Cricetulus griseus: one gene and its partners. The protein of the gene in region 1 interacts with the protein of each later gene in a pairwise test. Links are inferred from orthologs where the notes say so. Each region holds a gene or a part of one and is shown in the gene's direction. Other genes may lie near its edges. The genes, in order: cyclin-dependent kinases regulatory subunit 1, Meox1 and Arid5a.

Region 1 (2,135 bases):
CCCACCAGCCTGTACTCCTCTCTTCTCATTCTTTGGCCATCATTCCAGCCTTCCTGGGCCCCAACACAGATGCCATTCCAGCAGGAAGCAGTAATAGAAAAGATTCCATCACCCTTTATCACCCACAAAAGGCTGGAACGTTAGATCTCACAGAAACCACAGACAAATGGCTGAGGTGCCTCTTTAACATATCAAAGCTGATTCTGGTGACCAGTCTCTCTCAGTCCCTACTCACAAATAACCTGTCACAGAGTCATCTTGAGTGGCATATGCTGCCCCCTAGCCTCAACCTCTCTTCAGCCCATGGTCTGGGTTTCTCCTCCCCCAGCCTCTGATCCCCCTATAATCTCAACCTTTTTGAGCATGCAGTCTCTTGGTCTCTTGGTTCCCCTCTTGGCCTCCTCCTTTCTCCACTCTTCTCTTCCTCTCACTCCTACCCCTGCACCCCTTCTCTCATGGCACAGTTTATATGGACCCTTCCAGATGCCTCTGGCTGTTGTCTCCCTCATATCTACAATAAATCTTGTCCTCCACCATATCTGGAGCAGTCATGTCCTCATTTCTTCATTCAGTATATAGTCATGCTTTGCTTGGTGATGGGAAGATTTCAGAAAAAAAAATATATTTTAGGGGATTTTGTAGTTCTGCAAACATTCTGTAGCATATTTGCCCAGAGCTGGCTGGAGGTAACCCATTACTAGAGCAATAAGACAACAAAAGGAGATCAAGGGGATACAAATTGGAAAGGAAGAAGGCAAATTTTCACTATTTGCAGATGATATAATAGTTTACATAAGTGACCCAAAAAATTCTACCAGGGAACTCCTACCGCTGATAAACACCTTCAGCAAAGTGGCAGGATACAAGATTAACAACAACAACAAAAAAAAGGTAGCCCTACTATATATAGATGAATATGGCTGAGAAAGAAATCAGAGAAACATCACCCTTCACCATAGCCACAAACAACATAAAATATCTTGGGGGCTAACTCTAACCAAACAAGTGAAAGACCTGTATAATAAGAATTTTGAGTCTTTAAAGAAAGAAATTAAAGAAGATACCAGAAAATGGAAAGACCTCCCATGCTCTTGGATAAGTAAGATCAACACAGTAAGAATGGCAATCTTGCCAAAAGCAATCTACAGATTCAACATAATCCCCATCAAAATCCCAGCACAGTTCTTCACAGACCTTGAAAGAAAAATACTCAACTTTATATGGAAAAACAAAAAACCCAGGATAGCCAAACAACCTGTACAATAAAGGAACTTCTGGGAGTCATCAGGAGGCCGGCGGTGCGGGGCTGAGGGCCCTCGGGCTGAGCAGTCATGTCGCACAAACAGATTTACTATTTGGACAAATACGATGACGAGGAGTTCGAGTACCGGCATGTCATGTTGCCCAAAGACATAGCCAAGCTGGTCCCTAAAACGCATTTGATGTCTGAATCTGAATGGAGAAATCTTGGCGTTCAGCAGAGTCAAGGATGGGTCCATTATATGATGATCCATGAACCAGAACTTCACATCTTACTCTTCCGGCAGCCACTACCCAAGAAGCCAAAGAAATGAAGCTGTTGAACCACCTTTCAAACTCAAGCTTTACACAGCTGTCCTTCCTTCCTACACCTTCTGATAGCATGATTATGTTGCTTTCTTATTTCTCACTTTGACATTTAAAGGATGTTTGTTCAAAACATTGTTTGATTGTGTTGGTACCTGCTTTGCTTCTTGAGCTGAGCCACCAATGCCACAACCTGTCAGATGAGTGTGACCTCAAAGACCTGGTGTGCTCTTTATCCAGTAGGCATATCCATACTTGCCATCTCTGGGAAGCATGTGAAAATCAGATCATGGCTGTTACAGGGATAGTGTGAATTTCCTGTTGTGGTTTTTACTATTGGGTATTGTATTTATGGTGACTTACGGATTTATGTTTCAATATATTGGAAACTTTCCATTTTATCTGACAAATCTCTTCCATGTTACAAGCCTTGATTAAAGGAAGTTTTTATAATATAAAAAAATAAAAAAATAAAGGAACTTCTGGAGGTATCACCATCCCTGACTTAAAGCTCTATTATAGAGCTATAGTTCTGAAAACAGCTTGGTATTGGCACAAAAATGGACAGG
Region 2 (2,883 bases), on another chromosome or scaffold:
TGAGGCCAGCCCGAACATGAAATTCTGTCTTTAAAAAGATTAGCTTTGAAAGTAGGTGCTTTATTTTCTCCACTTTCTTGGGAAAAAGATCAGTTGAGATTGAATCCCCATTAAAACTCCCCTGGCCCATCCACTCCCTGCAACTGCGACAAAGAGGGGCTGGGAAAATCCGTGGCCCCGGGACAGGGGTTCCCCAGCTTCCTGGCCTCAACTGGCTGAGATGTACTTGGGGAGGCCTTCGCATCCGCTGCTTCGTGACCGACACTGCCGGGCTTGCCGCCAGGAGGGTTAGTGGCGCTGGCAGTGGCCAAGGCCAGAGGACTCCTAGGGGACCCGCCCCGGGGCTGCACATCCTTCCAGTCCAGACCACGCTGCGGCTGCTCCAGCATCCATGACGGGTCTGGGCCCACCTTTTCTGGCCAGGAGCCAGTGGCTGGCTCACCCCCTCCCTTAGCCTGTGGGGGGACTCCACCGTGGACCCCATTGGGAGGTGAGCGCCCTCCCCCACCCCACTCCTGTGACTTCCAGCCACCCTCCTGGTTTCTCCCCAGCCCAGACAGCCGGATGAGGAGATGACAGCTAAAAAAAAAAACCTAAAGTACAAACAGGTTGCCTGAGAGGGGAAGCAGCCAGGATCAGAGTTACAAATGGGATCTCAGGGTTCAAGTGGGGTCCCCAGCCATCTCCACAAGTTGGCTTCGAAGCTGAGGGTGTAGTGCTTTCCCTTGCCTGACTCATCGGGCCTGCATCCTTTCCTGCAGGTGCTCAAAGTCTCTGAGGACTAAGGACCTCAGCTAGGTGTGTACCAATGTAATTAGATAGAGCACAGCTCGCATAAAACATATTTCCTGACCCAGGGTCTCCAAGACTAAAAAGAGGTATGGAAGAGAAAGCCCGATGTCTTATGTCCCCCTGCCCAGGCAGGAAGGGTTCCTGTGGCAGTTGACTGTCCAGTCTTGTTAGTTGTTAGTTAATTCTACAGATGTGTTCGTCCCCTGCCTATGGCCTCTGTCACTACAGCTGTCAACGGAGAGGCACAGCCAGCAGCCAGTTCTTGAAATAGGAAGGCCTTTTCATTCTAGATGCAGTCTGTCCATCTGCACCAGACTTCACAGTCTGTGAACTGTGAACAAAACTATCTCATACTGGGACAGTGTATGAATCAAATCGCCTGGGTCCTCCCCCACTTAGCAATTAGGTGAATTCATTCTTGTGTTTGGTCTGTAAAACATGATCAATACTGAAACCACTCAGTTGGATTAGTGTGGAGAGGATGAAGCAAATGCAGGTAGGGACACTGTTTCCTGGCCCTGTCATGGGTCAGGACTGAACCCCTATGTCTAACAGAAGCCCAAGAGTTCCAGAAGGTTCTCCAGACTTGCCCTTCTGGAGCAGACTCCAGTGTGTATGACCAGCTTCCCTGTCCCGTTGACACTGCTGGGGCCCAGGGAATATTCCAGCAATCTGGTCTTAAAGCAGTGGTGTATAACCTTGACCCTGCACCGGAATGATCAGGAGGGCTTGTCAAAACAGGTTGCTGTGGGGTTGGGGTGGGCGATGCTTCAGCTTTTAGCACTAACTGGGTACAGAGACTTCAGTCAAGCCCAGTTTCATGTGCCTTGGAGAAATCTTGTGGGTGTGTTAGGGGGAGGGGGTTCTGAATGCACCTGAGACTGGGACTAAAAATATTTCTTGAGCATCTTAAGAATGACAGAGGCTGGGGCTGGAGAGATGGCTCAGAGGTTAAGAGCACTGACTGCTCTTCCAGAGGTCCTGGGTTCAATTCTCAGCACCCATATGGCAGCTCACAAACTGTCTGTAACTTGAGTTCACACCAATGCACATAAAATAAAGTTAAATAAATCATAAAAAAAAAGAATGACAGATGCCACAGAATGCTGCCCAGCTATTTAACGGACTAATGGAAGGGAACTGAGTCCCTGGCGGCTCATTCATGTCTCCTCCATTTGGGGCCTTCTCTTCACAGACAACCAGGAGAATGGAGGAAAACCGGAAGGTAGCAGCAAGGCCCGGAAGGAAAGGACCGCCTTCACCAAGGAGCAGTTGCGGGAGCTAGAGGCTGAGTTCGCCCACCATAACTACCTGACCAGGCTGCGTAGATACGAGATCGCAGTCAACCTGGACCTTTCAGAGCGGCAGGTGGGGTCCCTGGCTTGTCAGAGCTTCTCTGCTGTCCATTCATCTCCCGTTACATGGCCCCTGCCTGAACACCGTTCCTTTCCTCTACCCAGCCAGTGGTTCTCAACCACTACTGTGCCTGACAATCAACCATCTCAGGGAGAATTATCAGAGTTCTACTCATGGAGGTGACTGTAATTGGTCTGGGATGGAACTTAGGCAGCCCAGGTTTTCAAAGGCCTCCCAGGTAACTCTCATGTGACCAAGGATTAGAACAGCTGAGATCTGATTTCCCCCAAACTTGAACCAGCATTTGCCTCCGATTCACCTAGGCAACTGTTCAAATGGAGATTCTGAAAACCAAGTGTTGTGGCACCTACCTGTAAACCCCAGCACTTGGGAGGTAGAGACAGGAGGATTGTGAGCTCAAGGCTACCCTGGGCACAGGGCACTGAGTCCAGCCTAAGGAACTATCTTCAAGGAAATCAAAAGATGTGCTGGGACCGGACGTTGGTGGCGCACACCTTTAATCCCAGCACTCGGGAGGCAGAGGCAGGCAGATCTCTGTGAGTTCGAGGCTAGCCTGGTCTCCAGAGATAGTGCCAGGATAGGCTTCAAAGCCACACAAAGAAACCCTGTCTCGAAAAACCAAAAAAAAAAAAAAAAAAAAAGATGGGGCTGGGGATGTAGCTCACGGGTAGAGTGTTTGCCTAGCATGCAGGAAGCCCTGGGTTTAATCCCCAC
Region 3 (4,089 bases), on another chromosome or scaffold:
TTTGGCAGATAGCATCTCTGCCGATTCAGGTCTCTTGGGGTGGAGTATGGCTTGTAATCTTAGATGTGGGAGGTACTGTTGCAATGGTTATTCTGGTGATTATTCTGACCAGTTAATAAATATTGACAACAGTGTGTCTGTTACCCGATCTTTGAAGGCTGGCTGTTACAATTGTCCCACCAAGCCCAGTGATGCCTGCTCCAGGCTGAGCTTGCAGATCTGCCATTCCAGAGCTGATGGATAAGGGCCTGAGGATCAGAGTCACCAAAAGCAGCCAGGTCCACTTGCTCAGTGTGAAGGGGAGCACTGAAATGTTGGGAGGATGCCTGTGGAGCCCTCCTCATCTGTGTCCCTATTCCTGGGTTGAGCTCTAGCCCCACCATTGATGAGCTATATGAGGTAATAAATCTCCCAGGCCTGTTTTGCTCTATAAAATGCAGACAATGATGGTGTGAAATGCAGAGAGCTATATGAATATAATAATTAATGAACAGAATTTGATTCTGGGGATACCAACTACATACTAGGAACAGAGTTCAAGTCCAAGCTTTTCGGCTGCTGAGGCTTTCTGCTTTTAAATCCCAAGTCTTAGCTTCATCTTCTATGACCCACACAGGTCCAACTGACTGCTCTGCCTCCTCTTGTCCCCACTCACCACAAGCCTCACCCTTCTCTCCCTCACTTCCTCTTTGCACTGTTCAGCTTGTGGCTGTCATTCAGTCTACATGGCATATGTGGACATGGGCACTGCGGGCAGGCCTAGGGCATTAGGCCTGAGCCACGAACTTTCTAGACTGGACCCTGGTAGGCTAAAGGTACTTACCTCTCTGTGTGAATGAAAGCTGAATAGTATGGAATTGGCCAGGACCACTTGAGGTCAAAGTCAGAAGCACTTTGTTTAACCCCGCTGGAGAGAGCGGGCAGTTTTCTAAGACTCTAGTTTTGCCTCTAGGGAAACAGACCCAGGGCGGCCATGATTCTTGAGTGTGCATCATGAACCCCTCGCAGACAAGTGAGCGCACACTACAACTTCCAGACTTCCTCGGGCTCAAGGGGCGGAGCCCTCCCCGCCCCAGAAGATAGGATCCACCAATAGGAGCTCAGAGCGCAGTGGGGCGGGACCAGGGGCGGGACCGCGGGGTGGCGGCAGTCGAGCCGCAGCGCGAGTCAGTCGCGCCGAGAGCGCTGGGGCCGGACGGCTCCGCTCGTCGAGGGTCTCCGGTCAGCGACGCGCGATCTCGCTGGGCCATGGGTAAGCGGCTGGCGGGCGGCGCCGGGGTCGGAGGGCTGGGGACCCGGAGCGATCGCGACCCGCGGGTCAACCCGGGTGTCTGTGTGCTCTCTCCTCGTGGAAAGTCGGGGCGGCCAGGGGCTTCCCAGGCGTTTATCTCGAAACTCTCCTCTCCGGCTCTGGACTGAAATTCACTGAGCCGCCCACACTTCCTGCTGCGGTTTCAATCTCAAGCTGCTCTGGGCCCATTTGTTGTGACAGCTGTCAGCAACAGCTTCTCGGCCGCGGGCCCCTCCCTGCCCCGTGCCAGCCCAGCGCTTCTCAGAACCGGAGGCGCCCGGGCCGCGCGCCGCGCTTCCCACTGCGGCCGCGATTCCTGAAAGTGACTGCGCGGGTTTTGAAGAACTTGCTCAATGCACTTTGAAGAATCAATGGTTCCTCTTTCTGCCGAGGGACGTGCTGATGGTTTGACGGTCTCAGGCTTCAGGTCCTTCTCTTCTCTCTTCCCTTCCCCTTTCTTTTTGTTTCTCTCTTTCTCTTTCCAGCCCCTGGCAGGAAAGATGCTCCTTTTTACTTGCCCGGTCTTCTGACTTACCCTCTCTTCCCTCGGGTCTCTCCAGAGAGACCGGGTGGTGGCCTTGGACTGGGGGTGATTAGTGGAGAAAGAACAGAAGGGCAGGCTGCCAGAGTACAACGAACAAGTTTGGCTTTGATCTCAAGCTCGAACTAGGGGCACAACCACGCCACCACATCTGCGACCCTCCACACCGCCCAGGCATCATATGCCCTGGCTGGGGTCACACCCCATGCCTTGGCCCACAGGCGCAGTGGGGTTGCCAATCCTGGGCCTGGAAGGCCTCAAATTCATCCCAAGTCGTGCTGCTCCAAGCCTGCATCTCCTTGTTTGCAGAGTCTTCCGTTTCAGAGGACGGGTCACAGCAGCCAAAGGAGGGTAACAGGTGCTCCTTGCCCCGCCCCGTGGACACTGTTGGGAGTTGATACGCATCTAAGGGTCTCAGTGCCTAACCAGCATGCCAGAGCAGGGGAGGGTGGGAGATGCTAGCTTGAGAGTCTGGTCTCCAAGCAGTTAGAGTCCAGACTGATTGCTTAGCCTAGAACTTGAAGCGACAGAGGTGGAATGGGCCTCAGAATCAACCCCCACCTCTCTTTTATTACATAGAATCGGAGAGGCAGACTCAGGCTGATAGCGAGTGAGGGCCAGGCTTCCAAGCCTCCTTGCCCTTCACTCCTTCCTGGTGCCCTTCTGTTGCTCTGGGTGGGAAGCTGGTCTATAAATGGTCTACATTCCCTCTTGGACCGGGGTAGCAGCCACCGTGGTGGGACGAGGAGAATGGGAGGAGGATGGAAAAGTGGTTAGGTAGGGAAGTACCCTGTGTAAGGGTTCTACCTCTACTGTTGAGTCACCCCTCTGAGCTCTGTTTTTTCTCCATAGGTGGGGTGGGAAAACCGGAAATGATCCATATATAGGGCTGTTTTCACCAAACACATGGACAGAGGGGCGGGGCCATGGGGACTCAGTCCTTCCAGGAGTAGGATCTCTTAGACTATTTCAGAGCTGGGTAGCACTGGGATTCTGGACTCTCATACCTGGTGCCCATATATCCCTCTCTGCCTTACTTACCTTTCAGAACTCCCATCTTGTCTCTAGTCACTAACAGACCTTGCTCTCCCTGCCTTGGCAGAGGTGCCAAGGCTAGGCTTTGGCTGGTTCAGGATCCGCATACTCCTGTCCAGCTGTCCTCAAGGCTGGCCCTTGACAGGACTACCCCGCCCCCACCGCCTCCCCAAACTGCCCACTGGAGCAAGCCCAAGGAGAAGAATGCCAGGCAGCAGGCTTCTGGGCCACAGAGTGGACTGGCCGCTTCAAAGGCTGTCTTTGTTTCCTCTCCAGCTTGAGCTAAGAGAAACTTAAGCCAACAACCTCAGGCAAGGGGGCGGGGCTGTGTCTGCTGGTTGTTATTGAGGTTGCCTGCCGCTGCCATTATTGTTGTAATTGACGTCGTGTTCCCAGTCAGTGAGTTTTCATGAAAGGAAGTGTCACTTCCTTCCCATCACACTGAGGGTGACTGGGGTAGGCAAATGAAAGAGAGAGAAGGAAAGTGGTGCCCACGCCTTGCGAGCCTGTCAGCTCATGGGAGGTGTGTGGCTTTGAACACTCCGGGAGCACCAGAGTTCCCAGATCAAGGAGACTCATCCCGCAGACTTAGACCAGTCTTTCAGGACCCTAGGGAGAATCGGATACCATGGGGACAGGCAGGTGTCAGTATGGGTGTGTGCACACTTTCACTTGTGATTTGTTGGGAAAGCCTCATTTCTTGCTTTCTTCAAGCTTAGAATACTGGCCATTGAGTCTAGCACACCCGTCTTACAGAGATGAGGGAACAGACCTACAGAAGCAGAGATGGAGGTGATAAGAGACACACCCTGCATGGCATGGTGGAGCATGCCTATAGTCCCAACACTGGGAAGTCTGATCCAGAGAACCATAAATTCAAGGCCAATCTGGGCTACATAGAGAGACCCAAGCAAACAAATAGACAAGAGGCATCCATGTGGTACTAAAGCCCCCTCCTCCTCCATCCTGCAAGGTTTCATCTGATCTCAGCTCACTGGCTGGCAGGGCAGGGGGCAGGCATACAGGGGCCTCTAGATCACCTATCCCACAGCCTCACTGAATCCTACAGGGTATCCCTCACTACTTTCATCTTCCCCCTTTACACAAAGCCATTGTCTACCCAGAGAGCAGGTCCCCCCTTCTTCAGGGATTCTCAGTAGTGTCCAGTGGTTTTCCTTCCTTACAGGTTACAAATGGTACCCTGTATTGCAATGATGGGGCC

The links.
Region 2: the proteins of cyclin-dependent kinases regulatory subunit 1 (region 1) and Meox1 interact in binary tests that used the Homo sapiens proteins (3 or more experiments, as listed by UniProt). The two-hybrid records come from large-scale screens. The link is inferred for Cricetulus griseus from reciprocal best matches to the Homo sapiens genes CKS1B and MEOX1.
Region 3: the proteins of cyclin-dependent kinases regulatory subunit 1 (region 1) and Arid5a interact in binary tests that used the Homo sapiens proteins (3 or more experiments, as listed by UniProt). The two-hybrid records come from large-scale screens. The link is inferred for Cricetulus griseus from reciprocal best matches to the Homo sapiens genes CKS1B and ARID5A.

The regions. Positions count from the first base shown.
Region 1 is NC_048596.1:133,403,036-133,405,170, forward strand, and holds cyclin-dependent kinases regulatory subunit 1, read left to right. Parts: upstream 1-1,293; 5' UTR 1,294-1,331; coding exon 1,332-1,574; 3' UTR 1,575-1,620; downstream 1,621-2,135.
Region 2 is NC_048600.1:116,217,395-116,220,277, forward strand, and holds part of Meox1 (homeobox protein MOX-1), read left to right. Parts: intron 1-1,987; coding exon 1,988-2,160; intron 2,161-2,883. UniProt on the Homo sapiens protein: Mesodermal transcription factor that plays a key role in somitogenesis and is specifically required for sclerotome development. Required for maintenance of the sclerotome polarity and formation of the cranio-cervical joints.
Region 3 is NW_023276807.1:11,889,657-11,893,745, reverse strand, and holds the start of Arid5a (AT-rich interactive domain-containing protein 5A), read left to right. Parts: upstream 1-1,135; 5' UTR 1,136-1,248; coding exon 1,249-1,252; intron 1,253-4,089. UniProt on the Homo sapiens protein: DNA-binding protein that may regulate transcription and act as a repressor by binding to AT-rich stretches in the promoter region of target genes.